2 linked regions of the Tamandua tetradactyla genome follow. The main gene of each other region encodes a partner of the protein of the gene in region 2 in a complex. Links are inferred from orthologs where the notes say so. Each region holds a gene or a part of one and is shown on either strand. Other genes may lie near its edges. The genes, in order: CLEC1B and PDPN.

What was found.
Region 1: the proteins of PDPN (region 2) and CLEC1B are in contact, whole or in part, in a crystal structure (PDB 3WSR), measured with the Homo sapiens proteins. The link is inferred for Tamandua tetradactyla from reciprocal best matches to the Homo sapiens genes PDPN and CLEC1B. Residues at the interface, in NP_006465.4 of Homo sapiens: Ala46, Glu47, Asp48, Asp49, Val50; in NP_001380271.1 of Homo sapiens: Arg107, Phe116, Arg118, Arg152, Thr153, His154, Leu155, Arg157.

What each region holds. Positions count from the first base shown.
Region 1 is NC_135333.1:72,462,526-72,478,203, reverse strand, and holds CLEC1B (C-type lectin domain family 1 member B), read right to left. Parts: upstream 7,221-15,678; 5' UTR 6,978-7,220; coding exon 6,905-6,977; intron 6,501-6,904; exon of another isoform or gene 6,383-6,500; intron 6,209-6,382; coding exon 6,110-6,208; intron 5,097-6,109; coding exon 4,980-5,096; intron 4,822-4,979; coding exon 4,670-4,821; intron 2,149-4,669; coding exon 2,042-2,148; intron 370-2,041; coding exon 225-369; 3' UTR 140-224; downstream 1-139. UniProt on the Homo sapiens protein: C-type lectin-like receptor that functions as a platelet receptor for the lymphatic endothelial marker, PDPN.
Region 2 is NC_135328.1:212,274,441-212,289,738, forward strand, and holds the start of PDPN (podoplanin), read right to left. Parts: upstream 7,627-15,298; 5' UTR 7,362-7,626; coding exon 7,295-7,361; intron 1-7,294. UniProt on the Homo sapiens protein: Mediates effects on cell migration and adhesion through its different partners.

The sequences.
Region 1 (15,678 bases), on a different chromosome or scaffold from region 2:
GGATTAATGGAAAGCAGAACAAATGGGAAAGAAACGATCAATTCAGAGCTGGCTTTTGGGTATGTAAGGAAAGAACAAAGTGATATTGGTAGTGAAAATTTCATAAAGATGACTCCAGGGAGCAGAAAGGGAGTAATACAAATTTTACGACTGGTAATCCCTTCGTCCATATCTTTTATTGTACATTCCAGCACTTGTTTGTGATATCCTGTCCACCATCTGCATTAAAGTAGTTTCTCTGTATTTGCCATGTTAGCTTTCTGCTCACACATTAAAAAACGTTTGCTATTGCAGAAAGAAGCATAGACTTTCCCATTTTCAAAATAGGCACAATTCATATTTTCTCTTCCATCTCCAGAAAGATCAAACCTGTGGATCAAAAAGGTAATATAAATTCTTTGGAAAGCTAAATAAACAATCAACAATCACACTCTTTGCGTAGTATTTTGTTTCCCCCAAGGGAGGAAAAGTATAAAACAAAGTTCAGGACCTTGAGAAACTTCTAATCTGCTTTGGAGTACAAGGTCTGTACATTTGAAAAGCTCAATAGCGATTCAATATAGCGTAAGATTATATAGCAAATGAACAGTAGGAGCCCAGAGGAAGAGATGGACGGGGGTCTGAAATGATGGAGAAGGACTTTATTTGGAAGATCATACATAAATTTTGTCTTGAAGGGAGGGTAGGATTTCGATATGAAGAAAGGGGACAGAAGAACCTTGCTGGGCAAACAACTGCATAAAGTGGGAATAAGACCAAGGAAAAGAGAGTTGATTGAATTTTTTGAACTGAAGATTTAGTTTTAGAATTGTGTATATGAGGCAGTATATTTATTGTATTGTAATTTCCCATTAATTGTCTATGTTTCCAACTAGACAGCTTATGGTAATAAGACAATGGACATTTATTTATTCATTTACATGATAATATCTGTGAAACAACTACTTTGTGCTAAAGACTATGTCCTTTCCATTGGGAAACTTGATAGAAGCCAACAAGGAAATGGTCAAGATGACTTCAGAGATTTGTAAAAGTTATGAAGAAGCAAAGCAGTGACATGAGAGACTTTGGATGAAGCTACAGGTAGGAGTGAGGTCAACTTATTTTGATGAGTAAAGTTAGTCTCAATGAGAAAGTGATGTTTAAACAGAAACCTGAGTCACAAGGGGAAGCCAGTCATGGAGTTCTGGAATCAGGGCATTCTAGATAGAAGAATTCTCAACTAAAAACGTCCCAAGACAAGAAAACAAGCTTGATTTGTTGAAAGTACAGTGGGAAGACCAGTTTTTCTAGAATACTGTGAATGCAGCAGTAAATAATATGAGATAAAGTCCCAAATCTGTGAAGAGGCCTGCTTGTAATCATACTATCCTAGCTTAGTAATTGTCAGATTGTATGGGTTTTGGAAACCAGTTTAAATTTGAACTGGGGAGGCATTACAGTTTGAGATACAGGATGAACAGAAAGTGTTGAGACTGGGGATTGGAAAGTGATATCAAGCAACTCAATGCAATTGGCTTGGTTGGTGGGGTCCTCTGAGGCAGGATTGAGCCTCATGAAGTGAACATTAAACCCTCCTTGTGGACCACAACATACCTGATTCTTGGAGACCTCAGGATAGAAGACTAGGCAAAATGATACTGAAAAGTTAAAGGGATCCTCAAGAGAATAACTTTCAACCATAAGATAATGAAGATGATAATTTTAATTAAAAAATAGTGGAGAGAATCAGAGCAAGGGTCAAAAAAAGCAAACTGTTCCAATGGTAAATTTCAGGGAAAAATGAATGGGGAAAAACATGGGGGTAAAGGTGGATTGTGCCTTAGGTAATGAAAAGAATGGATGACAGGGAAAAGTAGAATTGCCTTATTATCAGTGCTCTTCTGTTAGGAGTAGGGAGTGACTCAGCTGCTGCTTACATAACCCACTGTAGGATATAGGCCTCTCCCAACTTGTAAGTAACTAGCTCTCAGGTGGGAACAGGATTACAGGAATAAAAGAAACTAATAGTGCTTTGTATTCTTAATATTCAGTTACATACATGTCCTTGGAGAGAACTGAGCCATCTTCCCACATCCAGATCCCATTAGAGTTCTGGCGGGATAATCCAATCCAGCGAATTATAGTAGTCCTGCTTTTAATATAATTCTATTGTAAACACAAATAAATACAATGGTAAGAATGTTTCCGCAGCCTTTGGTAATGACAGAAAGACAAAGCTTCATGTAAGACCTTTGACAAAAAATAAAACTGTTGGATTATGTGTCTATTTTAATATTGATGGATTATCCTTTACATTTAGAATTGTACCAAGTTGACTTTAGAATGAAAAAGAAAAGCATATTTGTTGGACACAGGAAAAATTATAATAAAATATCTGGCACTTTAATGATCCTGTGTGTTTATAATATACAAGTATATCTTCTATCAATTGAAGATTTAAACTTCTACCAATTGACTACCAAACAGAATACCAAATATGATTTTTTTTCAATTTAATATAGGGAATTTATTTTTCCTGAAGGTTACTTTCATAGAAATTATGATGCAAAGAAAAAGAAATCTTTGATCACTCATTGGCTGGGGAAAAATGGAAAAATGGAACATACCTTGATTTTTAAATATATTTGAAAATTAAACTCAGCAAAAGTTTAGTAGTTATTTTTGTGAAAGAGACAGAATTCATTTTGAATTGCTTCAGACTATGTCTGAAGGTTTTACTGAAATTATGGCCTGGTCTTAGGAGTAATTAAAATATGACTTTTAAATGAGATAAACAGGAAAATAGCCTGAGAAAGAAAATGAAAAGAAATACATTGTTGTAAATACTTTACATTGCCCAAAATTCAGCTCTACATGCATTTGGTTTTATTACTTAGCTAGCCTATAAAATATTGAATAAAAAATTATTAATTTGTTTCGTTTGATGGGCAAAAATAGAATTATATTAAGCCTTTCTCAAAGGAATTTATAAATAACTTCATATATCTACATTTCGTAATTTACTTTTGTCTCCTCAGCAATTATCACTATTATACTATATTCTATAGCTATTTGTTTTGTTTACTGTCTGTTGCTCCAACTAAAATATAAACTCCATGATGTTAAGGATTTTTGCCTGTTCTGTTTACTGAATAGCTGCAGGTTCTGGAAGAGTTTTAGCACAAGTTTTTGAATTAATGGTGGGTGAATTGATTAATCTATGTGAAACAAAACCAAAAGGAATGCAAATGTTCATATTTTCTCATACCTTTCCAGCTAATAACTCGATGAGAATACATTCTTGGCAACTAAAAATATAACACAGATTTCTTGACGTTTTGTGAAACACAGACTGACACTCCACAAGAAGTATGGTATGAGAATCATTTTAAAATACATTTGAAGTTTAGGGCAGTGCGATGGTGGCTCAGTGGCAGAATTCTAGCCTGTCATGCCAGAGACCTGGGTTCTGGGTGCCTGCCCATGCAGGAAAAAAAAAAAAATGCATTCTATACTTCGCTATTAGACCAGACAGGAAAATGCTACCTACCTGAAATTCAATTATTCCTTATTTCTAAAAAATTATTTCACTCTCCATTTTCATTATACATTTCCAAACAGGAATCAGACTGCAATAATAAGACTCAAGAAATGCTTATATGTCTCCATTGCATCTTTTTGTGCTGGAGTTGAGATTTTAGGGCATTCTCCCATTTCATCTAATCTGAAAGAATTGATTTATTTAGCTATCTTCTTTATGAGTCTGAGCACACAGAAAGAGTAGGTTGATGATACAATAATTTAGAATGATAGAGTACCAAAAATCATAGAATCCGAATGGTCTACACTTATGAGTTCTGTTTAATCTTTGCATATAGATCAAATCCCATCTATTCCAATTACATTTGTGTTCTTTTTTTAATGTAGAAAACTGTGAAAAATTACTTTCTTAGAAACTGTAGGATAAAGAAAATTCCTACCTTTATTTAAAAAAATGCTTTGATAAATTTATTAGATAGAAGGGAAACAACAGGGCTTAGTTTCTGGCTTGTTCCAGGTTTAATGAAGAGAGAAGCTACATTTCATAACAAAGGGAGAGCTTAGATGGATCAGAATACATTTTGCTTCATCAGAGAAAAGAGAAAAACATTACAAAATTGTCAAAAAGAGAAATGTAGAAGAGGAGATAGGTTTAATAGAAAGTTTTCAACTGAAATCCTGTATGCTTTGCATATGAGATTACTCCCAAAATATATGTTTAGGAATGCTTATGAAAAGAAAAGTTTTGCTGAAGTTGTCAGCAATTTAGCAGGAACTGAGAAGGAATTTAATATTGGGATAACACTGTTATTTATAGTTTACAATCATATCGGGTGTTTTTTTCGCACTTCCCAATTCTTTTGTAAATAAGTTAATAGAATTGAGGTAGCTAACAGAGGTGAAATGACTTGTGGCAAGATAACACCAAAACTCAAGGTCTCTTGAGTCCTAGTTCAGCACTCTCTACTCTCGAATGTTGCACTTTTTACTGAGCTTGATAAGGTTCTTAGGCCAGTGCAAACTGTAAGACATAAGAGAAATGTAAAAAAGTCAAAAGTTACATTTAGAGAAATGTAAAAAAGTCAAAAGTTACACTTAAGATTGTTTCCTTATGACTCCAAAACATTTGCCATAGGAAGCTCCTTACCAGAATGTTCTGGCTGGCAATCTTCAGAAGACTAGCATTCCTGACAATACAGTATTGCTTACTCTCTTCCCACGTCAGGTTGTGCTTGAAGAATCCATAGCAACGATCTCCATAATATCTCCAGTTTTTGTCACAGGGGCTGCTTTGTTGGTCTTAAGGAGAAACCAAGCACAGGAACCCTTTCATTGTAAATCTACCTTATATTTTCCCCACATTCAATGTTTCCCAAGATCTCAAGATTCCATTCAGATGTCAGTGCAGAAATACTCTGGAGGCAAGGGAGATCCAGAGGCTATCAAATAATACTTACTGAAACTGTCCTGATCTGCTTCTTTTCTTAAATCTTGACAGAAGTGCTTTGCTAATTGTTGCAAAGTTTCTGAGAGATTTTCATTTTGGGCTCGTAGGTAATTTTGCTGCGTGACAGCTAGATGTAAAATGTAGACAATTTACAATCAGGACCATAACGGTGATGCAAAGACCTTCGCACTGGCTTTCATTTCAGTATAACTACTAGTCTATGGGAGTTTACTAGAAACAGATGAGTAAATGAGTTCTGAAAAGGGGTAAGGAAAAGTGGGACATAAGGCACAAATTAATAAATATGCAAAACTAGGGGTTATCCAATGAAACAGTGAATTATATTTGAAGGAGACAATCACTGATAAGAAAATCTCTTGGTCAAATAACATGCCCAAGAAGGTTATTTTGACATCTCCTAAGCAGAGTTAATAAAAGGTCAATGGCCTCTGATATTTTCTACTCTTCATGTAAGATCAGAATATTTATTCATTTAAAAAAATGCATACTTCTTTCTTGTTATGCTCAAAATACAAAGAGATTCAAATAAATAAAAATGGTGAATTAAATATTCTTGAATATTTTATGAAAAAAATAAACAAGAATGCACATAAGCAACAGCTATACAGATTATAATGTGACATTGGAGCGCTATTAAGATTATAGGAAGAAAAAATAATATTTATGAATTAGGTGCACTATAAATGATCTCTTAGGGTAAGTAAATAAATTCAGTGAACAAAACAAGATGGAGAACATTTTTGGAAGATGGGATAAAACGAGCAAAACTTCAGGTGGGGGTTGTAGGTTTTATTTTTGAAATTGAGAAGACTGACTTGGCTAGATCTTAGGTAGGGAGAAAAAATGTGTTTTAAAAGATAGTTTGAATTCATACTAAGGAGAGTTTTTGAAAGCCAGGTTAAAATTCTTGAAAATAAGTTTTAATAATGAATAAATTAATTAGTTAAAAAGTGATTTTGATCAGGAGAAGAGATAGTCAGGGCTCTCTTTTATTGAGAATTTCTTGATAGATATGTATAGGATGGCCAAAGTAGTGACACATAGGACACTTAAGAGCTCAATGTGAAACAACAAGACCCTTAAGAATTGCCTATCTCAGATCAATGAGTTAATACTTACACATAATCCCCAGAACCACCAGCCCAACAACCATTCCCACGCACAAGATCAGCAGAGTCAAAGCCATCATACGCCACAAAGGTGAGGAAGCAGGGTCAACTGTTGGCAGATGATAAATATGTCAGCGAGCAGGCAATATGGCACAGCTATGGGACACCATCATCCCTGCCACTGACCTCTCAGAATTTTCCAATAATAAAAATAGCTTCATGAGCAGATCTTTCCTGTGTTCCCTTGGTGACCATCAATACTAAGCATAATCTTCTCCCTCACCTTACATCCATCCCCATCTCCAATGGACCACTCTTCTCTGAGCCAAAATATTACCAGCAGTTAAAGTTTTGCAGGTTTGTCTTTCTTTTGGGTTCACTTCTTTAAATAATTGCTTTAATAAGCTGTAAATAGAGAATCACATCCATTTGCTGACATTTTTAAAAATAGTGGTTTCCAGACATCCCCTCCCTGACCTCCCAGTTAAACTTTACAAGTCTTTTTTTTTTTTTTTTACATGGGCAGGCACCAGGAAATGAACCTAGGTCCTCGGGCATGGCAGGCAGGCATTCTTACCTGCTGAGCCACCATGGCCTCCCCCTTTACAAGTCTTAATGTAGTGTTCACTGCCTGCCTTTTGTTTTATTTGAAATGCCTATGTAGATACCACACAAATGCTCTAGAGAAAGAATGCCATTCAGGAAAAACAAGCAAATAGTATGCTATCACTAGAGGATAAAGGGAAAATAGGGTTGACCTATTTCACTAATTAATTTCCAAATTGCTGGATATGGGCATTCTTACCTGTAAGTCCTGAGTTAAGAGTTGGTTTCCGAGATTTAATGTTTAAGGTGATGTATCCGTCTTCATCCTGCATGGCTTCACTTGAAGGGTGAGTGAGTTCAGGGCACAATGACTTTGCAAAATGTAGTGTCTACTCTCAGAATTTCAATGTCTGTTCATCTGTGACCCTCCTCTACTAGAAGGGTAGAGCTCTATGATTTGGAATACATGTGGTTGTGCTTTTTTTTTTTTTTTCCCAGGAAGTTCTTCCGTAGCTACTTAGAGATCCATGGACACAAGGATAGTGAAAAATAAAAATGTAATAATAATAACTTGTGGTTAAGGAGTAGATAGGGCATTTGTTTCCTGTTTCCTTATCTTCAGCTCCAAATGAAGGGATATTCCATCATGCATATCCTTTCAAAGAACAAAAGTTTGTTTGTTTTTTTTTGAAGTCACTGTTCATCTAAACCCTAGTGTAGTCTAAATCAGGTTATTTTAAACGAACTGATGGCTAACGAAAATTCATGAACTTAAACACTAGCAAATAGAGTACCTCCTATCCTGAGGACTCGGTCTGCTATAATTTGACCTAATATTGACCAAATTATTGTGTCATTGGCTTGTGGCATAGGGAATCATTCTCATTTAAGATCTAGAATTTACCAAATTCTTGCATTTTTCTTAAATTAATGTAATATACATCACAATATACGTATCCACATGTTCAACTTTATGACATGGGGATTTAAATTTTTAGTTCAGTTTATATTGAAGTTAGTTATAATAAACAGCCATGCAAAGTTAGCTGCTGTGCTCATTGTGGGGATGTTTGCTGAGGATATTGTCTATTTTGCCATTAGGGTAGCTAATCATTTTATAGTGGATGTTTTATGGAACTTCCATAGTCAGAAAAGCTGAACAACTAGCAGACATTTATTCTTTAACATGCTATTTAGGGAGCATACTCCTTCCTTTTCCCCATTATCTCCTTCACTCTGAATTCTTTTTATAATTTAAAAGTAATTTTAGAATAATTTAAATAACTTTATTTTTAAATTTCCTCCCCTATACACCTCAAATTATTTTGAGAATGAGGGGAATAAATAAAACAAGTCAAAATAGACAATGAAAGGCATTGCCTGAATTTGAAATCCCAAATTTCTGTGTGATTCAAGTATTTTCACAAAAATTAATCCTTAATCAAAATTCCCACTTGGCATCAAATAAATGCCCAGTTTAATAAAAGGAGAAAAATCATACAATCAAATTTCTTAAATTTCGAAAACTAGTATGCCACAGAGTTTATCTCAGTTAAAATATTCAGTGGTTCCCGATCATAAACTAGAGTAAACTCAGACTATTTATTACTCCACTGCGCATCTACCAATGCTTCTGAACGTGTAATCTGTCTCAGCTGAAGTGCAGAACAAACCTAATCTTCCAGTTTTAGGAGTATTTCTCAAAACTGGAAATAATTCTGGAGAAATTATTTCTCCAAAACTGGAGAAATAATTCCACCCTCCCTCCCTTCTTTCTCTTTCACCCTAACTCTCTCTTTTTTAATAGTTTTTTTCTAAAATATACAGGAATACTGATAGATAATTGTGACTAAGTGATCAACAGAAGAGAAAATAGGTGTGGAGTGTATGATTCAAATGGCACGTTTTGAATAAACCTTTACTCTGTCCTAGTAATCAAACAGTTAACTTCGAATATGTAATTATTTAAATTGAATCTCATATGCAAACGCAAGAACCATGGATATTTGGAAATCTCCATTATTATTCTAAAATTTTTCTTATTTAATTAGTAGAAACTATAACATGGTATTAAATGTGATAATTAGCTTACTTTGATGAGTTTTCTATATTCTCTAGGCCTTGGGCAATTGGTTTAATTATTTAAAAAGTCTCATTTCTTATTATTATTCCCTAGGAATATGCCAAGATTACCTATTGATTCATTAGTGCTTAAATCCCTACATTTGTCACCAGAATTAGGTAAGCTGAAACGAGTAACGTCAAACTCAGATGATATTCATTTGTCAGGATCTGGACTTTCTTTTGGTCTTCTCCTCCTCCTGATTGTATCTACAGATGTAGCCCAAGCCATGGACTGAGGAATTTATGTCCAGATCTACATTCCATAAAACATGCATTTGACCTTTATTTATATTCTCTCCAAACATGGTGGTGGTGTTTTAGATACATATTTTGTTAGTTGTGAGAATGACTGGGTCAAAACATCTCCTGATAATGTGCTCTTTCCCTCCGCATATTCTATAAATATATGCGGAGTTACTCAGAAAAATGAAGCAGAGAACAGAGTGAAAGAGAGAGATGTAGAAACTCTTCTCTTTCCCTAAAATTCAGAAGCTTCTAGATGTCTTATAACCATCTTATAGAGCTCAAATTATTATTGACATATTTTCTTTCCCTTGTATATTTCATCCCTTCCTTTTTTTTTTTTGGCTCAAGAAACAATAGCTGAACGATGCCCTTTACTCCAAATTTCCTGGTGAGTCTGGACTTGCAATAAAAATCTTTATTTGTTTAATATTTTAAAGATTGAGGGACTTTTACATAAATTATCTACTTTGTTTTAAAACAGAAATTTAATGGATGTTAATTATGTTTCAGATCCTTTCATTTTTGCTGAGCATTCATGGAAAAACTCATGGAGAACAGATTATTCATTTTTAGCTTTCTAAGCTTTAGTTTTTTAGTATTTAGAAAAATTCCTCCTACCACCCCCACCACATAATGACCGCATTTCTGCCCCTCTTCTTTGCTTTACTTTTTTCCATAGATTTTATTAAATTCTTGCACTTATGAACCTAAGAATGTATCCACAGATCTAAAATAGTGACTGACATACAGTTACCATCTAATAAAATATTTTTTGAATGAATGAATAAATAAATATACAATGGAGGTTATTATTCTAATGTTATACACATAGGAAGAGAAGATGAAGGTAATTGTGAGACTTTTCTATGATCATAGTACTTGTAAGTAGAGGTACCATTTATCCAGTTTCCCAGTTCAGTGTTCTTTCCTTTGCCTCTTTTTTAAAATAAGTAATTAAAAATAGTAACAGTTTTTAAATATAACATAAAATTAGACATTTTAACCATTTTTGAATGTATAATTCAGTGGCATTGATTACATTGCAATGTTGTGCCACTGTCACCACCATCTATTACCAGCACTTTTAATCTCTCCTAAAAGAAACTCTTTACCCAGATACCTAACTTCCCATTTCCTGATCTCCCCAGCCCCTAATCTGTAATTTACAAACACGTCTATTAGTTTGCTTATTCTAGATATTTCATATGTGTGGAATCGTACAATATTTGTCCTATGGATCTGGCTTATTTCATTCAGCAAAATGCTTTCAATGTTCATCTGTGTTGTAAGTGTACATCAGAACTTCATTCCTTTTCATGCAGAATAATATTTCATTGTATGGATATACCACATCTTGTTTATCCATCCATGTGTAGATGGACACTTTGGTTCTTTCCACCTTTTGCTGTTGTGAATAATGCAGCTATGAATATTGGTATAAAAATATCTGAGTCCTTATTTTCAGTTTCTTTGTATACATACCTCAAAGGGGTATTGTTGAGTCATATGACAATTCTATGTTTAACTTTCTCTAGAATGACCAAACTGTTTTCCATGGTGGCTGCACCATTCTATCAACAATGAACAAGGGTTCCAGTTTCTTCACTTCCTTATCAACACTTGTTATTTCCTGTTTTTATTTTCATAATAGCCATCCTTTGTGGGTATGAAGTGATGTCTAATTGTGGTTTTTGATCAACATTTCCCTAATAACTAATGATGTTGAGCATTTATTCGTGTGCCTATAGACCACTGTTGAAGAGATTATTATCTTGAATAGATTTACCATTCATCAAATATCAATTGTTTATATTTATGTGGGTTTATTTTTGGACTCTGAATTCTATTTCAGTGTCTAAATATCCATCTTTTTGCCAGTGCTACACTGTTTTGATTACCTTATTTTTATAGTGACTTTTGAAATTGGGAAGTCTGAGTCCTCTAACTTTGTTCTTATTCAAATCCTTTTTGCACTTCAGGACCCCTTATAATTCCATATGAATTTGAGGACTGTTTTTTTCCATTTCTTTAAAGCAGGATGTTGTAATTTTGAAAGGATTGCATTGAGCTGTAAATTACTTTGGGTAATATTACTACCTTAACAATATTTAGTCTTCTCATCAAGGAAGTGAAAGGCTTTCACACTGAAAATTACAAAATGCAATGGAAAGAAATAAAGACCTGCATAAATAGAAATTCAACCCCTTTTCCATGGATTTGAAGACTTAAACACATGTCAGCTTTACTAATGAGAAAAATAAAGTAATGTGAGGTTAGGTAACTTGCCAAAAGCCACAGGACAAGTAAGTGTTGATATTGGGTTTAAAACAATTAGTCTGTCTTCACAGACTTTCACTTTTTTCATGTTCCAATAAAACTTTATTTACAAAAAAAGGGAGACAGATCAAGCCATAGTTTGCCAAACTATGTTTGATGTAATCTTGGAGAGTCCTTACAATTAAAATATAAAAGATGAGGACCTGCACTGTGGTTGTCAGTGCACCTTCACATCATTCTAGAACATTGTCTCTATCAGTAATACAGTGATAAGAATCACTACCACTACTTGAGAACCTATGGGTGAAGCATTTTTTGTACTTTGTTCACCTCCCAACAATCCTATGGGTGGATATTATTGTAACACTCATTTTACATACGAAAGAACTGAAGGTCAGAAAGTTTCCCTAACATGTCCATTGACAAAGAGTTGGTAAGAACCCAAAGCAAACACTGTGACTCTTAAACCTTTGTTATGTTTTTGCCACTTCATGGCTTTAGATTAAAGGATTAAGATGGTAGAGAATCCAATTTCCTTGACAGGGAAAACAAAACAAAACAAAACTTAAATATACTAAATTAAATGTTAAACCACAATAATTTCAGAGACTATTTTAAATTATAAAATATCTTAAAATTGTAAAATAATTGGCATCTTAAAATGCTATCTTTCAAGACACAAAACCAGCAATGGAACATGCCAATGCCCTCAAAGAACTTGTCATCTGTCTGGCAAGACACAGGAAATAATGAACAAAAATAAAGCTCCAGCTTAATTAGTTACAGTAGAAGTGCTTTTAATTGCCCTTTACTCACCATACTTGACAAATAAAATAACACATTGCTAACACTCAGCCTGATGCCCCCAGGACCCTGTGAGCATCAACAGTAGACCTCTTGGGTGCTCTATTAATTTTCTATTGCTGTTATAGCAAATTATCACAAATAAAGTGACTAACACAAACACACATGCACACACACACACACACACACACACACACGGATTTATTATCTTATTTTCTGGAGGCTAGAAATCCAAAATCAATCTAAAGTAAAGGAATTGGCAGGGCTGGTTCCTTCTGAAGGGCCTGAGGGGCAAATGCTTTCCCCTTACCTTTATCCACTTCTACAGGCTGTCTACATTCCTTGGCTTGTGGTCTCTTCTTGGCATCACTCCAACCTCTTGTTTCTGTCATCATATCTCTTACTACTGACTCTGATCCTCCTGTCTCTCTCTCTCTTTTTAACTTTTTTTATTATATAGTATAACATACACAAAGCAAAGCAATAAAAAAGCCATAATTTTCAAAGTACTCTTCAACAATAGTTACAGGGCAGATCCCAGAGTTTCTCATGGGCTGCCATATGATTGTCTCATATTTTTCCTTCTAGCTGTTCCAGAACATAGAAGGTAGAGGGCTTAAATATTTTTTTATCATCACAATTGACTTTTTTTTCCTTTCTTTAGTTGTGAAAAATGACAAATATACAAAAAAGCTATAAATTTCAAAGCACAGCACCACAATTAGTTGTAGAACTTATTTCAGAGTTTGACATGGGCTACAATTCCACAATTTTAGGTTTTACTTCTAGCTGTTCTAAAATACTGGAGATTAAAAGAGATATCAATTTAATGATTCAGCATTCATATTCATTTGTTTAACCCTATCTTCTCTGTAGAACTCCACCATTACCTTTGATCTTTCCATCTCTCTCTTTAAGGATGTTTGGGCTATGGCAATTCTAAATTTTTCATACTGGAAGGGCCTGTCACTAATACAGGTATGGAGATGGAACTATCTGATGTTCTGCAGAGGCTGGGCTAGGTTTCAGGACTTAACTGGACCAGGGACCCATCTGAAGGTTGTAGGTTTCTGGAAAGGTATTCCAGTGCATGGAACCCTTGTGGAATTTTATATATTGTCCTCGGTGTTCTTTAGGATTGGCTGTAATGGTCCTTGTTGGGGTTGGCAGATTATGATTGGCAGCAAGATCTAACTGAAGCTTGTGTAAAAGCAACCTCCAGAGTAGCCTCTTGACTCTATTTGAAGTCTGTCACTGATACTTTATTAATTACAATTCTTTTCCACCTTTTGGTCAGGATGGAATAATTGATCTTATGATGCCAGGTCTGGATTCATCCCTGGAAGTCATCTCCCTTGTCACCAGGGAGACTTTCACCCATGGATGTCATGTCCACGTAGGGGGAGGGCAATGATTTCACTTGAAGAGTTGGGCTTAGAGAAAGTGAGGCCACATCTGAGCAACAAAAGAGGTCATCCAGAAGTAACTCTTAGGCATGCGTATAGGTAGTCTAAGCTTCTCTGTTACTTACATAAGCTTCACAAGAGTAAGCCTCATGATTGAAGGCATGGCCTATTGATTTGGGCATCTCTAAAGTTTGACACAGTATCAGGGGATTCCCTGATGGTAAGGTTTAATAGTTCCATATTCTTTCTCCCATCCCTCAGGAGACTTTGCCAATACTTTTTGATTATCTTGTTAATTTACTCTAGGATGTATCTAGGCATTACAATAATCTATACAGGATTAAAGGACCTCTTTCGTATTCTGTGCTCCCTGTGTTTCAAATGTTCAAATGAGCCATACAGATAGGTTGAATTAGATTATGTACTACAGAAAATTTCAGTTCCAGACCAAATAAACATTTCTTCCATTGGTCTCAAAGAGTATGTGAGGCTGTAAAATACAGGCACTGTCTTCCTTACCCCTATGTTTTGAATTACTTTAACTTTAACCTGTTCAGGTTATATATATATATAACAGCCTGTCAAAATCCAGAAATAATAATCACCACTCTGGATTTAAAGTGCCTGCTCTAAAAGCTTACAGTCTAGGCCCCTGTTTTCTTATAAGCATTTTCTAAAGGTGACCATACCATTCTTGTTCTTTTGTTTCTGGCTTATTTTGTCTCACCAAATGCCCCACATGTTCATTCACATCGTTGCATGCCTCATGACTCTGTTTCTTTTTGTAGCTTCGTTCATAAGTAAGTACCAATCTACTTCTTCGTCAGTGCATCCTTCAGCCACCTGCATTCATGGGCATCATGTATAGTGCCCAAAGTCCACAGTCCATCAACATTCTCAATTTTAGATCATTTCATTGTTCCCAAGAGAAAGAAAACCAATAAACATACTCTCACCAAATAAGAAATCTAAAACTCCTCTTAACTCTTGTCCCTCCCCCCATTATTTAATTCTGCTATTGCTGTGGTAGTGCTGATGGTTTCTTTTTGAACATAGCTCATAATGTGCAATAGCAGCTTTCTCCCTGTACCCTGGGCTTAAACACTTTTCATACCTTTGAAGTGATTCTTGTGAGAACTAATTCATATTTCTAGTGTTAATCAGTGGAACACATAAGTCTATATAACCCATTCAATTTTGTTCATCTTCAACGTGGTAATATTATTTATAGACCCACTAGAGAGACAGCTTCCCTTCTATCCCCTTACATTGGAGTTCAATCTCATTCACAGCCTTTGATTTTAATCAGGACAATTTATTATCTTTATTAAGTGAATCTACATTTCAAAATAAATTCTATCCCATATCTCATCCTCTGGCTCCTCTTTGTGGCCATTTTTTTCTTTCTGGTTGTAATTTATCTTTGCTTTTTGTTTTTGGTATTGTGGGGAATCTTGTTTGCATTGCTTTTAATAAACAACTCTGAATTAACTCCTGTTCTGGCATGCTCTGGGTACTATCCAATATAGGATCTCTTTAAAAATGTTCTCTGAAGTAGACCTACCATGTGGGGATGGAATGATCATCGAGGAACACAGAATGTGACTTCCAGTAGTTTAATATTGGCAGTATTTTAATGTCTCTGAAATCATCAATACTTCCATCTTTAATACCTGTATTCCTCCATTTCTACAGTGAACGGGATTTGCAGAAGGATTTAATTCATGTGACAGCAGGAAGACCAGTCAAAGATGATTCCAACTTTCTGACTCTGCTATTTGGAGTTGCCATTTACTGAGATAGGGAATCCTAGAATGGAACATGTTGATAAGAGTTGTTTATTTTTGGATATGTTAAGTTTGAAACTCCTGTAACTTATTTAAGTAAATATGGCAAGTCAGCAGTCAAATGTATGGGCCTGGACATCAAGCCCCGTAATAGATAAATTTGCAGCTGTGCATTACATGCTGGTTATTTTAAGCCATGAAGCTAAAGGAGCTCATACAGAGATGGGTATAAACAGAAGAAAGAGAGCCAAGGACTGAACTCGGGTACACCAACATTTGAAATCAAGAAGATAAAGAAGAATCAACAAAACTTATGGAGAGTGGGACAATAAAGTAATAGGAAAATCAATGAGAATGGTGTTGTGGGGAACAAAGTATTTTGGAAGATT
Region 2 (15,298 bases):
GTTCCTAACCTCTCATCCTTCCTACCTGGTTTTTGTATTTCTGTCACCTGCCTTCCCATTATTCCTACCAAAAGCCTTAGATCACTGTTTTTCTTTCCTTTTCTTCCTGCCAAATGTTTGTTATGCATCTACCATGTGCTAAAAAAGACATGCATCTTGGTCTCTTCTCTAAGGGACAAGAGATGTACACAAATAATTAAGATACAGCCATGGGATAGCCAAAACTAATTACAATGCTGCAGTAACCTGAACAGTGTGGTACTGGCATAAGGACAGACATATAGATCAATGGAATAGAACAGAGAGCCCAGAAAGAAACCCATATATTTATGGGCAATTGATTATTGACAACCTAAACACAAGACTATCTCCAAGACAATTCACTGGGGGAAAAATAGCCTGTTCAAGAAATGGTGCTGAGACAACTGGATATCTACATGTAAAAGAATGAAGTTGGACCCCTATTTCATGCCACATACAAAAGCTAACTCAAAATGAATCAAGACCTAAATGTAAAAGCTGAAACTATATAATTCTTGGAAAAAAACACAGGTATGACTTTATGTGAACTTGGATTAGGCAGTGATTTCCTAGGGCAACAAAAGCAAAAGCAAGAAAGAAGTAGATAAACTGGACTTTATCACCCTTCAAAACTTTTGCACTTTAAAAGATACTGTCAAGAGGGCAGGCCACGGTGGCTCAGCAGGTAAGAGTGCTTGCCTGCTATGCCCGAGGACCCGGGTTCGATTCACGGTGCATGCCCATGTAAAATAAAATAAAAACAAACAAACAAAAAAAAAACACTCCTTTAAAAAAAAAAAGATACTGTCAAGAAAGTGAAAGATGACCTACAGAATGGAGAGAATATTTGAAAGTCCTATCTGATAAGGGACTGGTACCCAGAATACATAAAGAACTTTTTCAATTCAACAATAAAAAGACAACCCAATTTAAAAATGGACCAAAGGATTTAGATATTTCTCTAAAGAAGATACACAAATGGCCAAAAGTACAGGAAAAGATGTTCTACATTATTAGCCATCAGGGAAATGGAGATCAAAACCATAACAAGATATTACTTCAAATCCACCAAGATGGCTGTGATCAAAAAGAAAGACAACAACAAGCGTTTGTGAGGACATGGAGAAATCGGACTCTCCTACTTTGCTGATGGCACAGCCACTTTAGAAACAGTTTGGCAGTAAATAGGGTTACCATATGACCCAGCAATCCCACCGCTAGGTCTATACCAAAGAGAACTGAAAAATACATCCGCACAGAAGCTTGTACACAAACATTCACAGCAGCAGTGTTCATAAAGAGCCCAAAGATGGAAACGAACCAAATGTCCAACAACTGATGAATGGATAAACTATGGGATTTCCATATAATGGAATGTTACTCAGATATAAAAAGGAATGAAGTTCTGACGCATGGTACAAAAAGAATGAGAGTTGGAAACATTAAGTAAAAGAAGCCAGACACACAAGGTCACACATTGTATGATTCCATTTATATGAGACGTTCAGAACAGGGAAACCCAGAGATGGAGAGTAGCATTAGAGGGAAGTGGGGAAGAGGTAGTAACTGCTAGATGGTTCAGGGTTTCCTTTTGGAGTGATGAAAATGTTCTCAAAATCAATGTGGTGATAGCTCTACAACTGTGAATATCCTAAAAGCCACTGAATTGTTTACTGTTCCCAAGGTTGGTTCTGTAGTATATATGTATATGAATCACATCTCAAAAGTGAAGTAAAAGTATGCTACATGCTTTTAAAAAGATTGATTCTATAGTATACAGAGTATACGAATTTCATCTCAATTTAAAAATTCTAAATACAGTGTGGAGTTATAAGAGGTGAATAAGAAACCAGGAAATACTGATGCCTAATGAGCTGGAAGTCTTGCAAGTTCTTCCAAGAATTCGATATCTACCCCCCACCCCACCCCAGTTGCTGTCTCTTCTCTAAGTCTCTTTCGCTCCCGACTCTCCCATCCCCCCCGCCCCAGACCCGTCTCAGGTCCTATACAGCCTCCTCATTATTAATTTTCTCCTGACGTAGTCATGCTCACCTGACTGACATTCTCCACCCTCCACTGCTGCCTACAGGAAAAGGCTCAGCTGTCCCACTCAACATAGACTCATCCTTCCCCCGGACTTCCTGACACTAACTCATCCCGTGATTCCAGCCTTCATGGCTCTCACCAGCCCTGGATGCCCCCCACCTGTTCCCACACAGATCCCAGATTGCTCTAGTCTCCATGCATTTGTTCAAGCAGCTTCTCCTGCCTGGCTCACGCTTCCTCGTCTGGTCTCGGCAGCCCCACCCACTGCTCACAGCCAAAATGAACTCCGGCCTTCCCCCAGGCTGCCCCTGGCTACCAAAGGCCACAACAATCTCCCACGTCTCTGAAGGCCGCAGATAACGGTGTGCCCTTCTTCCTTAAGACACCACACATATCTGTCTTGCCTCTATTTGAGAGCTGTGAGCACTCTTTATACTTCCTCTCTTATTCTCAAAGCTCTTAATAGCATGAGTGCCCTGTAAATGCTTAAACGGCAACTCAGGCGGTGACCATTTGGTGGGGGGGGGGGCATAGATCTTGCCATTTAGTTCTGCGCCCCCAGCTCTAGTCAAGTTCATCAATTAGAATGATCTAGCTGTCAAATAACAAGTGGCGTCGCTGCTGTAAGGGGCATTTGAAGAAACAAAACTGGCTGGCTTTCCTGGGTGTCGTCTGCGGCCCTGACTCGAGCATGGCCAGCCGCACTGCCGAGCGGAAATGGGCGTGTGCTGTAACCCTGGGCTGCCTGCGTGCAGGTCTCACGACTGCCATGCATGCCCCAGCAATGTGTCTGGGTGTGTGCCACTAAGCCTGTCTGAGCCTCTTTGCTCATCTATTAAATAGGAATTAAAAAGGAGAGATTTCCACTCCTACACTTGTTGTGAGGCTTAAATGCACGGGGCTTGTAACATACTTGACACCTGCTAAGTGCTCCTTAACGCCAGCTGTGGTTGTACAGATATCAGCACCACCCACTATTAGCACCATTCAGAATCCAGTTCCCTTCGCTTTACAGACTCAGAAAGTTCCTCCTCTTAGAAGGTGATCCCGCCCAGGTGAAACTGTTAGCCCACAAGTGGCCAGAGTGCCAATTAGTTTATTTAAAATGGGAAAGATGGTTTCCAATAGTCAATTCTGCCCTTCTCTGGAGAGAAATGCCTGATTCTCAGTATAGAGAATTCTGTTCGGTGTCCGAGAACAAAAGCGAAGGGTGGGGCCGCTCAGACCGAGATCCCCGATTCTGGGTAAAGCACCACGACTGGAATCAGAACCCCCACGGCCACCAGACCGAAGGTTGTCGTGCTAGCTGTAAGCAGTGGTATGTGCCTGTCCGTGCTGCACGCCACTGGTTGACTCACAGCAGTTACTCAATAAATATTTGTTTAATAAACGAATTCCTTGGTCAGGGCAGGTTTAATGATAATCAATCCTTGTTACTTTCTTCTTCCTTTCAAGATTCTAGGCAGGATGGGAATCCTGTTCTCCAAATCACTGCTTTTCTTACGTGATGGTTCCTGCTCCCGAATGGAGACACTTGGTGAGTTTGCGGGAAGCTCCTGTTCCCATCGGTATGTTTACAAGTTGTCCAGTGTGTCCCCTCAGTGGCCTAGGTAGTCGGTGCTACAAACTCAAGTGTAGCCATTGTGGCCCGAGAGTGCTGCAGCCACGTCCTCACCCCACTGCCCCGTGACGTGACGCTCCGCTGCCCTGCTCCTCTGGAGCTCAAGAGCGTGTCACCCTGCCGGGAAGTGGTGCCCTGACAATTCCAGCTTTCAGTTCCCCAGTGACGTGGGTGAGGTGGTCAAGTTTGCTGGATTCCCCCAAACTCAGTCTGATTCACTTCAAAGGCCTGAATCCAGCTTCTCTGAGCAGTTAGGCAAAGGCACTCAGTGGGACAAGAGGGCGAGCCCTCGACCCCTCCCCGCTGAAGCTCACGGGAATCCATGCCGGGTGGGCCACCTGTCTGCAGGCTGGCTGCTGGCCCTGGGACTGAACACGGAGAGAGAAGCAGTCACCTCACACCCTCGGGGACCCTCGGATAAAACAGCCAACCACTTGCCTTTCCCAGAAATTGTTAAGAAATCAGTTGGGGAAGGAATCAGAATGCCCATTAACAGAGGCTTTATCTCTCACCCCCTCCTACGGGACTCCTAAGAGGAATCTCAGCAACAGTTTCCTGGACTTTAGAAGTGCTCGGCCCCCTCCCCCATCCCACCGCTCATCCTTGGAGTGTCTTCACACAAAACTCTCCCACGGGTGCTTCCTCCGAGAGGTGTGGATGGTGGCAGGAGGGCAAGGCTCCCAGGAGAGCCAGGCTCCCAGGAGAGCCTTGCAGGCGCCTATGCAGATGTAATGAGCGGATGCTGATGGGTGAGTGCTGAATCTGAGTCCTCTCTCCCTCCTCCTGCCTCCCCCTCCACAAGCTGGAACCTGACATGGCTGGTCTGAGAAGCCAGAAATATGATGACTATTTAGCTCAGCCAGTGGAATTTAAAGGCCGGGCTCACTGCTCTGCCGGTGGAGCGTGGGAGGACACTCCCTGATGCTAGGTCCTGTGCACCCAGCACCCAGGGGAGGCTGCCTAATTGTCTGCGGGCTGAATTAATGAATCCTATTTTAACGTCATTTTCATTCTTGGAGGAATATCATGGTGAGCGGTGAAAAGGAATTTTTATACCTTTTAAAACCGTGTGTACCTTTTTAAAAGTTTGCTTTCACGTTTAAGGAGATTAAAATGAGGTGAACCTTTAAATTTCAAGTTTAACCTTCATGTTTTTTTTGAGGCAAAACAATGGAGTGAAAAGAGCTTGGGGTTGGGAGTTAGACTTATTCTTGAATCCCAGCTCTGGGATATTCTGAAGATAATTATGTATAATTTAGCAGAGTTAGGAGGCTTGAATGAGGTAACCTATGACATGCCTAGCGAGTGGTGGGGGCTGGGTATGGGAGAGAGGTGGTCTCTTCCTGCTTGGCTGGACCATCCACTGAAATACCAACATTTGGGGCCTTCCTAACTCTCAGGTATATAAAATCACTCATTTGCACTTATTTCTCAGGGGCCAGGGAAGGGCAGAAGGGGCCACGTCCCTCTGCTCAGCAGGGCTCAGTCTTGCTGGCCATGTCTCGACTTAGCCTGCTCATGCATGGGCAATTTTTTTAAACGTGCTTTTCGGCATTAAATGACATTTGGGATCTCATTTCCCAGCATGACGGATGGGCAGATGTCACAAAGCCTCTCACAAACCTGATCTTTATTAAATGCTTGATCGGTGCCCTCAGTGCAACAAGGACTCTCACCGCCCCACGAAAATTTCAGGACCTCCCAAACTGGCAGGAGTTTCGGGGAAATCACAGGGAAATTTGTTGGCAACATGATTAATCCTGGGTGGATTCGTCCCGGAAAAGCAGTAACTTGCAGAACGTCACAAAATAAACTGTGTAGCGGAGAGGCCTTGCTGTGCGTGGTTTGGACTGAGTGTGGGGCCTGGCCATTGAGGCTTCCTGATTCCCCCTTGAATCCGCTGTGTGGCTACTGATCCCCTTTGAATCCACCCACATTCAGAGGGGCAGACATATGGGACCAGATCATAAAAGGGAAACAGATCAGAACACTGGATGAGGGAAGCCCAGCCTTGTGGTGGTTCTAGGAGAAGGTTAAATAAAATCCACCACCATAATTACCCCTAGCCCAGCTCCCCAACAGCAGCCAACAACAGCTCAGCTCAATGAAGTTATTCATCCGTATTCAAGTTGCCTCACTCATTATCCGCAGACAAAACCCCTGCAGGGCCTCTGCTTTTTGCCCGCAGCCCAGCCTCAGCGCCGCCCGAGTGGAGCTTCTTTCTAAAGCAGTGGAGAGTTCCTAGCACCAGACTTGGTTGTCTGGTCAGACAAAGGTTCATCACCAAATCTGAGGAGGACAGTTGGCCTCCGGAAGATAATTACTGCTCACCCTTCCCTCGGAGAGGACAGAGGACATTGCCCAGCTGCTCTTTCCTTAGTAGAGCTGGGATCGGGCTCCGTCTGGGGACCTCCCACACCTTCCACTGGTGAGCACAAAATGGTGTCATTTGCACACTGTCTCGCCAAAAGGGAAATGTAATTGAAATGCAGAAGTGTATATATTCCACTGGAAACAGAAGTTCCAAAGTTAGGCCTGCCACGAATAGCGCCGCTGGCCTCTCTGAAGCTAATTGTCTGGCATAGAGTAGCGCAGGCTGCATCATTTCCCTAAGGCGGGGTATTTTTATCTTTGTATAGAATTCTGGAAATCTAGCTTAGGCTCATCCCTCCCTCAGACCCCTCCCCATTCCGGAAGGGCTCCTCAAGACCAGGCCTACCTCACTCCTTACCGGAGCTGACCAGTTCAGACAACCTCCAACCCCAAGGATCAATACCCGGTTAACGATTCCTTCTTGGGGACTTAATGAGCATCTACTACGTGCCACTATTTTAGCCCTAAGCATCAAGGCTACGCCTAGCCGTGTCCTCAAGAGCTTTTAGTCTACTGGGGGAAACAGATGAAAATAAAAACCCAAGGTGGGGAAATATGAAATAATGACATGTGCCTGCATGTCACTAGGATACTGGCAGAAAGAGAAAAGGAATGAGAAGAGGATGTAAGAGTAGGAGGAAAAAGTAAGGGAGACCATGCAGTGCCACCTCTGCCCCGCTTCTTTAGATCAAATGCTTTTAAAGTCCAGGAGTCACTAATGCGTGGCCCCAAGCCAACGCAAACCTCAATTTCCACAGCAAGACTTTGGATCTTTCCCTATCCACACCATCCTCTGTAGCAGAGGCTGCTTCCAGCACCTCCCCAGTGGTGGGGTCCTGAGTGGGTTCTCCATGTGTGCAGCCCCCAGGGAGTCAAACGCCCCCGCCGGGCCCCCCAGCCCTTCCCACGTTCCCACCCGGCTCCACTGGGCCCACCTCTTCTGAAGCGGTGGGCATTCCCCACAACACACAGCCGCCCCTGCAGGGAAGACCCTTGGCTCCCCACCCTTCGCTGCCTGTGGATTCGGGGGCTCCTCCTCGGCTGTCTCTTGGGGACTTGGCACCGGCTGAGCCGCTGCCTCTCCTCCCCGCGGGGGCCGAGCCCGGCATGCACCAGCAGTCCCCGCGCCCGGGCGCTCTCCTGGGCAACCTCGAATACCAGGCCGAGCATTCCAGCAAGTCTGCGCTCGTCTCCCGAGCCGCCGAAGCCCGGCCCCTGCCGCTGGGCGCTTACCTCCTTGTGCCAGGACCCAGAGCGGGGCGCTGCCCAAAACGAAGAGCAACGCTAGCACCTTCAACATCTTTCCGGTTGGGTCTTTCTCTTTGGGGCCGAGCAGCTAGCTTGAAAGCGGAGGGGCGCGGGGGAGAGAGAGCAAAAGCTCGGCAGCCCCTGGGCTGGAGGGGCCGGGGAGTGGCGCCTGGAAAGCGGGGAGCAACAGCCCCAGCGCGGGCGGCGTCCCCCGTCTTCCTTCGCTGGCGGCCGCGGCGCGGGCTAACTTTGCAATTGAGAACTTCGGGAGCGGAGTCAGCATTTATCTCTCCCAGCGAGGGCGGGGAGCGGGGTCCGCCGTAAGGTGGTCCCAGGCCCGGGCGCGCAGGGCCCGCCCTCCCGCTCTGTTTGGCCAGCGCGAAAACCAGGATCTCGGGCCAGGTTTAAAGTTACAGGGCGGCGCTGCGGGGGCCGCCGGGACTTGGGTTGGGGGGCCTGAGCCCTCGCCAAACTGGCTTTAACTGCGTCCAACCACCGGAGGAAAGAGGAGTGCCTACTTTCGTGACCGGGTAGGGGGGTTCGCGCACGCCATAAGCCTTTTTGTCCTTGACATTTTTATTTTTTAGGAATAAAGCCCACGCTTAGGTTTTCCATCATTAGGTTTCTGAAGCCAGAAACAAATTATTCCTTGTGTGGCCATTGATTGTAGCACCAAGCAGGGAATTGGTCTTGTGAAATTCGAATTGAATGGCTTTTTCTTTTTTAAGCGACTCATCGCATCGGGGTGGGCTCCAGCTGGTGGTAAATCGCGCCCTTGGTCACGGGACCCCGAGCGGGCCGCGGCGGGGCTGCCCGGGAGCGAGTGCAGGGAGCTGTGCAGAATCGTGGGCGAACACCTGTGCCCACTTCGCTCCGTGGCGCGTCCCTTTTAGTGCTGGAGTTTGGCCGCTCCTTCCCCACTTGGCCGGTTTGAGCGAGCTTGGCCCCCACCTCAGGTGCAGGATGTCAGGAACAGGAAGAGAATTTACCGGTTTTTTCTTTGTTTTAACTTTATTTCCTTCTGAACCGCTTGGATTTTTAAATTTTTACTTTTAAGAAGAGGCAGTGAAGAGTCCTCCACTCCCAGATGCCACGAATTCCGTTCAACAAAAAGAACCCAAAGGTCCGTGCTCCAAAGCTCTGTTCTAGGGTGAAAATGGTTGTTTTCAGATACTTTCACTAGATCCTGTTGCCAGAGGTACTTTATGATAAGACTTTCCTGGGATGGTTCTTTAAAAAGCTCAGAGTTCTGGGCTCCCCCCTTCAAGCTCTTTAAATAAGACTCTGGGAAGTTTGGACAGGTGCCCCAGGAGAAGTTAACAGGCATAGCAGTAAATCTTGCCCTCCAACAGTGCTTCTCAAACTTTAGCTTGCAGGTAAATCACCTGGGGGGCTTGTGAAAATGCAGGCACAGCTTTGTGGGGCTGGATTGGGGGGGTGGTGTTCTGCATTTTTAAAATCTCTGGGGTGAAGTCTGGGCTCCCGCTAGGGCTACAAGGTAAAAGCTGAGAGCCAGAAGGAAGAAGTAGAAGAGGCGCTGGAGAGCTGAGTTGGAAAACTAGGGACAGAGAAGAGAGCCTTTTCTGAACTGACTTCCCCATTTTGCTAATACATTTTAATATTCCAACATGAATAACGTTTGAGGAACTGTGTAGTAAATGTGCTATCCTTAGAGCTTGTTAGGTAGAAAATAGCTGCCCAGCCCACCTCACCTACGGCAAATTTCGTGGGCATGCAAGGGTAAAACACCTTTAATTGGAAACTTGAGACTGAATGGAGCCTAAGGGAGGGGTTAAATGGAGTTAATTTAGAGGGATGCTTGGGGCTAGTTATTCAAGAAGACTGCCCCCCTCCCCAGAGGGAAGTGTCCAGAATCTAGAAGGTCAGTTACGGGCCTGCTGGTGGGGGGAGGGGTGGTGTAATAGGGCGTTGGACCATGCCGGAGCCTTGGAGAACCAAGAAGGGCCAGAACAGGGCAAGTCTGTGAGCAGCTTCTCGGGGTTTAAATAGATGGGAACAGTGCCTGGACCTGTGATGAGGGGAACCTGGAGACCAGACAGAAAGGCTGTCTTTCCTCAACAAAGAAAGCAGCAGGAGAGAGAGGGAATGCTCTGAGCCAGGGTCAGGCTAAAGAAACTGCAGGAATGCACCTGAGATTTGGAAGCCTGAGCTCCGCTGGAGGGAATTACGAAACAAAGCAGCATGTGCTCCTAAAGGGATGACTTTGAATGGTGACGAGGATGCTACTGGTGCGAGGCCATTTACTGACCTTTACTATGCAAGCCAGGAAAGGGAACTCTCATTAAGTCCTCAAAATGACCTTGAGTCAGAAACATTGATAAGATCCATTCTGCTTAAGAGGAAATAGGCTTAGAGCACTGGCTTTCAAAAGTGGGCGACAGCCTGCATACACACAGTTGCAGGGTGGCAGGTTCAGATACAGCTGGCTGGAGCTCCTTCCAGACTTTCTGGGTCTTTAGGTCCGGGGTGTAGTCTGACAATTTGCCTTTCTAGCAAGTAGCCAGGTGATGCTGCTATGCTCAGAAACGTTGGTTTAGAGCCCATGCAAATGGTCTGGGCTCACACAGCTAATGGTTGGTGGAGCTAGCGTCCCTCTAGTCTATTGCTGAGCAGGACCTGAACCTGTTGCCAGTCTGTGCCTTAAGGATTAGCAAGGAGATGTCTATCAGCTGTTTTTAGGAAGCAAAAGGCCCCAAAAGGGAGGGAGACCAGGGTGTGAAATGAGAAGGAGCCAGGAAAGGTCAGGAGAGTGCGGAGTATGCAGGCAGGACCCTCCATCCCAAGGGATGCTAGAGATGGAAAGTTAGGGATACCTTGGTGTGCTGGTTTGAATCTGTTATGTACCCTGGAAAGCCATGTTTTAATCCTGATCTTATCTTGTGGGAGCAGCCTTTTCTTTTAATCCTGATTCAATATTATAGGTGGAGAATTTTGATTAGATTATCACCGAGGCGATCTGGCCGGCCCAATTGTGGATGTGACCTTTTGACTAGATGAAAATGTGACCCCATCTATTCCAGGTGGGTCTTGATTGGCTTACTGGAGTCCTTTAAAAGGGGAAACATTTTGGAGAGAGCGCAGAGCTGATAGGCAGAGCAGATGCAGACACCTGGAGGGCAGTTGCTTCAGAGCTCATAGAGCTGTCGGGAGACCTGAACGTTTGGAGATGCAGAGCCCGGCGGATGTCGCTGTGTGCTTTCCCATGAGATGCTGAGCGGGCAAGAACCCAGAGTTGTGTCTGCAGGAGGGAAGTGGAGGCCCACAGATGCCAAGTGAGGAAACTGCACAGGAAACAGAGGCTGAAAGCCACGGAGTCCAGGAGCAAGGGACGAGCAGATGCCAGCCATGTGCTTTCCCAGCTGACCGAGGAGTTCCAGCCCCATTGGCCTTCCTGAATTAAGGTATTGTTCCCTGGATGCCTTAATTTGGACATTTTTTATGGGCTTAGAACTGTAAACTTGCAACTTAGTAAATTCCCTTTATAAAAATACCATTCCACTTCTGGTATATTGCATTCCAGCAGCTCAACAAACTAATACACTTGGGTTCCCCACTTTCTTTGAGGACTCTGTGTATTCTGGAGAACTGTGAGCTGAGCTTTTCTAGACTGCCTGGGAAGACTTCTCAGTATCTTCTCTTCCTTCTAAATACACACTGTTCTTGAATTGAGCTGCCACCTGAGCAAATCTCTGCTTTCAAGTGGGGCTCCATGTCCCAGGAATGACTCATACATTTTGAGACATGAGCTGAGTTCCAAATGTACATAGCAGGAATGAGTTGGGGGTAGGGGTGAGGGTGGCCCTGGACCTGAAGGAACCCACAGCCAGCTTGATTTGCTGGAAAGGGCCTCAGTATTTGGAATAAAAATCCAGCTCCACAGATGACATGGGGCAACATCTGGAAGTTTCAATTTCTGCTTCTTTAAAATGGGGGTCTAATTCCTATTTTGGAAGGCTCTGTGCACAGCAAGGAGCACTGCTACTGTAAGTGCTGTGATGGTTGTTTCCACCAGGCCCCTCCTGTTTCTCGGCTCCTTTAGTCCCCCTGTGCCCACCTATGCCCACCTGAATACTCACCAAGCCCCAGGCCCTAGGTCAGAGGCTCTTGACATGGTACCAATAGAACTGGTTTCTTTTGACCTTCAGCAACCCAGCTGGACCAACAAGCAGAGACTCAGCATCTAGTCATCCTTCTGCTAGTCCAATCCTTACCTTGAGCTTATCCCTGAGAGCCCACCCTGGAACCCTGGGCCCAAGGCTCCCTCTGGGAAGTCAGAACAGCAACACCCAGAGCTAGTATTCTGCACAGGAGCTCCAGCTCAGAAACTAATTCTTGCCACCTGCCAAGGATTGCATGAATAGAGAGCTGGCTTGTGTTTCTGACAACGACCCACTCTTGGGTAGAGGTGGCCACTGGGGGCCTCTATCTCCAGAGCCCCCATTGCTCTCCCAGGGCCCCCCACCATGCTGGCTGCTTCAGTGAGCAGCCTGCCCATACCAGTGGTCTGAGTTAAAGGGTGTCATGTTCTATTCCAGCAGCTGCACACAGTTTTACTCATGTACCCCCTAAATATTTTTTGAAAAGCTAGGTACCAATTATTTTTTATCATATAGTTACATAGTTCTTTATAGGTAGAATATGTTATTCTTTATGATATATTAAACTTTATAAGGAATAAGGTGAAGATGAACTATACCTGGAAAAATAGTACATGATCTGATTTGATGAAGCTTGCTGGATAAGTGCACTGACTATGAAAAAATTATAAAAAATGTTTATCTGTGAATGTGAATCACACATTTGACATTTTTTGATAGAAGACCTGGAAAACTTTCCAAGTTATGTTTAAAAGAATCAGCATCACTAACGGACACTCTTTTTTTTAAAGCTGAGGCACTTTTATTAATTTTTTCATTATAAAAATACACATTCATTAAAGATAATGTGGAAAACAGGGGAGTAGAAATGCCATATGCCCAGATTTCTTTGTGTAAGTTTGTCTTTTGATATAATTTCAAATATATGGAAAAGTTGCCTAGATCTATCCATTCATTTACATTTTACCCCTTTGCCTCATTCTTATTTCTATATTTACATCTACATGCACATTGCATTTGTTCTGAATAATTTGAGAGTTAATGGCAATCGTAGGTCCTTCAGCCCTAAGGAGTTCAGCCTAGTGGTTTGGGGTGTGTCTGATGTTTCCTCCTGATTAGATTCAGCTGTGAGTTTATGGCTGGATGGTGGAACGAGGGTTGGCCTGAAGAGCCACCTGACGTCAGTTTTGAATATTGAAGATTGCTAACTTTAATCCCTGGATTAAAGGGTTCTGATTCAAAATTGGGAACTCTCCAACATGGAGCAAACACCTCCCTTAACAGAAGACGGGGGAGGACCAAAAGCTGCTTCCCAGACACCAACCTTTCACATTGGAACCTGGGGCTGAAAAAAAATTTTTTTTTTCACCCCAGAACATGCACCAAAATAAGATTTGGGATGGATAAGGATCTGCCTTTATTTTGTGCATGGGAGAAAGGCTATTGCGAAGGTGTTGTGTTCATCCCCAGTTTTAGGAGAAACATGAGGATTTTGACATTGATTCTCTTGAACCCTTCCATGACCCTCAGAAAGTCTGTGTACCCCCAGTTTGAAGATCACTACCCTGTTCCCCTGTGGGGCTGGATCTCCTCCTAGCATTAGGTCCACCTCACCCCAACCCACCCCACTGTAATTAGAGGATTGAACCCAGTGTGTTCCAAGCTCTCATCTCTCTGCCCACTTTGAGGGATCATGAGCTCTCCAAAGCCAAGGGCTTATTGGTAGATTTAGATATATTCCCCTTTGTAGCACCAGCCAATGGCATATGCTCCATAAATATGTGTGAAAGGAAAGCTTGTGATTTTGTCCAAGAAAGGTCCTTGTCATAGAAGACTGACTCCCAGCCCACCCTGAGACACAGTGATTGAGCAAATGGCAGATGATATAAAGCCAGCTAGCTTGGCCATATGCAAAGACAAAAAGGGTGATTTCTGAAATGCTGGAAAAGCCCTGCTGTAATCTCTCCAAATCTCCGTATACTTCCCCCTCTTCCTTGTAAACGTGCTGATAGCTAAAATTCTATAGAGATTCATTCCTTAGCATGAAAACCTGATCCCTTTTAGAATGCAAGTAAACCTGGGAAGAATTGTACATTTATCATAATTGGTATTTCAGAAGTCAATGTGGATGGATTTCTCTCCCTATGCCAAGAGCAGGATTTGATAAGGTGATGAGGATGAAAGTTTCCTGGATGCCGTCAAGGAGCAGAAAACACACAAAATAGAAAGCCCTGTGTTGTTGGAGATTCATTTTACCCATTTCATAATTTGGTTTGGATTCATGCTGTTTTCCAGTTGCTATTGTAATGCATTGATTCACTCACTGAATCACTTCCTTATTGAAGCCTATTACATTTCCAAGCAGTGCTCTCAGCCCAAGAAATGCAGCTGATTGTCCTTTCTCCATCCTCTACTCGACAGATGTGATGTGGACCTACAGCTCCACTTTCACACACTTGGGTAAAGGAAGGTCAATTCATCCTGGGCCATATCTCCGGTGGTCAAGGCATGGCCCCTGTGACTATCTCAGGACAAGGACCAAGGTGTAATGTTCAGTTTTTCACTAGTTTATTAAAAGCATCTGTCTTTTGCTTGGAGCAATAAGGAAAACGTTCAGTGGTGTGGATTAACAAACTTCTGTACTCTGTTTTCCTGGGAAGTCATTGGGGCTCTCACCTAGACATGAAGCTGTGTGAAGGGTGAAATCCACGGGCTCTAGAACTGAGAACTCTGCCCTGGAGAGGGCATGACTGCTACCCTTAGAGGAAGCTGAAATAGCCCATCTTATATATTTCAGTTCTGACATTGGCTCCACACTACATGAAATAAACAAAAGAAGAACTCAGGCCAATGGGAATTTTTATCACAACAAATTGATTTTTAAATGCTACCCTACTCCCTCCAAAAATTCAATAAGTTTGCTGAATATACCAGTTGATTTGAATTTAGATATCACTGGGGGTTGGGGGGAAAAAAAAAGGAGCACCGATTACTTTAATGGGTTGGGGGCATAGAGCCAGTTTAAATTTTTTTAATCCTCACTGAATTTATAATGGACAGACAAGCATTGGGAGACATTGACTTTTTTTTTTTTCTTAACCATTCACACCAATACACACAGAAAGCTCCTTTCACTGTTGTGTTCAGAGAGCCTTTCATTATAAAGACTCAGCACTCTGCTTGGAAAACAATCTGAATGAATGCATCTCAGTGTGGGAGGCTTGGAAAGTCAAGTAGGGACAGGGCTGGGAGAGGAGGGAGGCGGGTGTTTACTTACTGCTGTCTTGAAGGTTGATTGCCTAGAAAACATTGACACCAACCTCTCTTACCTTAGTTTCCCTGGGTGTAAACCCGTGGAGATGATGGTGATAAGGTCTCTGTGTGTCTGGGTGCTGGAAAATTGACCACAGTGACTTGATCCTTCAATCTGCAGGCTTCTGCCCGCGTGCAGAGAGTAATGACAACAAACCTAGTGTGATGCCAGCCTGGAATTCCCTCCCCAGAGCGGGTCATGCCCTCCCCAGAGATTAGGCCACACGGCCGGCCGCAGTACAAGCTCCCACCCCTCCTGCCTCCACTGCCTCAATCCTTTTGGAAAACTCTGGATTTTAATAGTATTTTGAAAACCCTTTTGTTGAGGTCCCAAATCTGTCTTCATCACCGTTCAGGAATCTCATTGAAATATTCAGACGTTAGTATCTGCCAAGAGGTGGGTTTGGGCATGACAGCAAAACAGGAAAAGGCTGAAAAGTTAATAAAGCTGGAAAAAACCCCACAACTTTTATGTCCGCAGTCCCCCCTGCCCAGCTCGCCCCAGCTGGCTTTCAACAGGGGAAATTTGGCCACAGAGCGGGTAAGTCCTCCCCTTTGT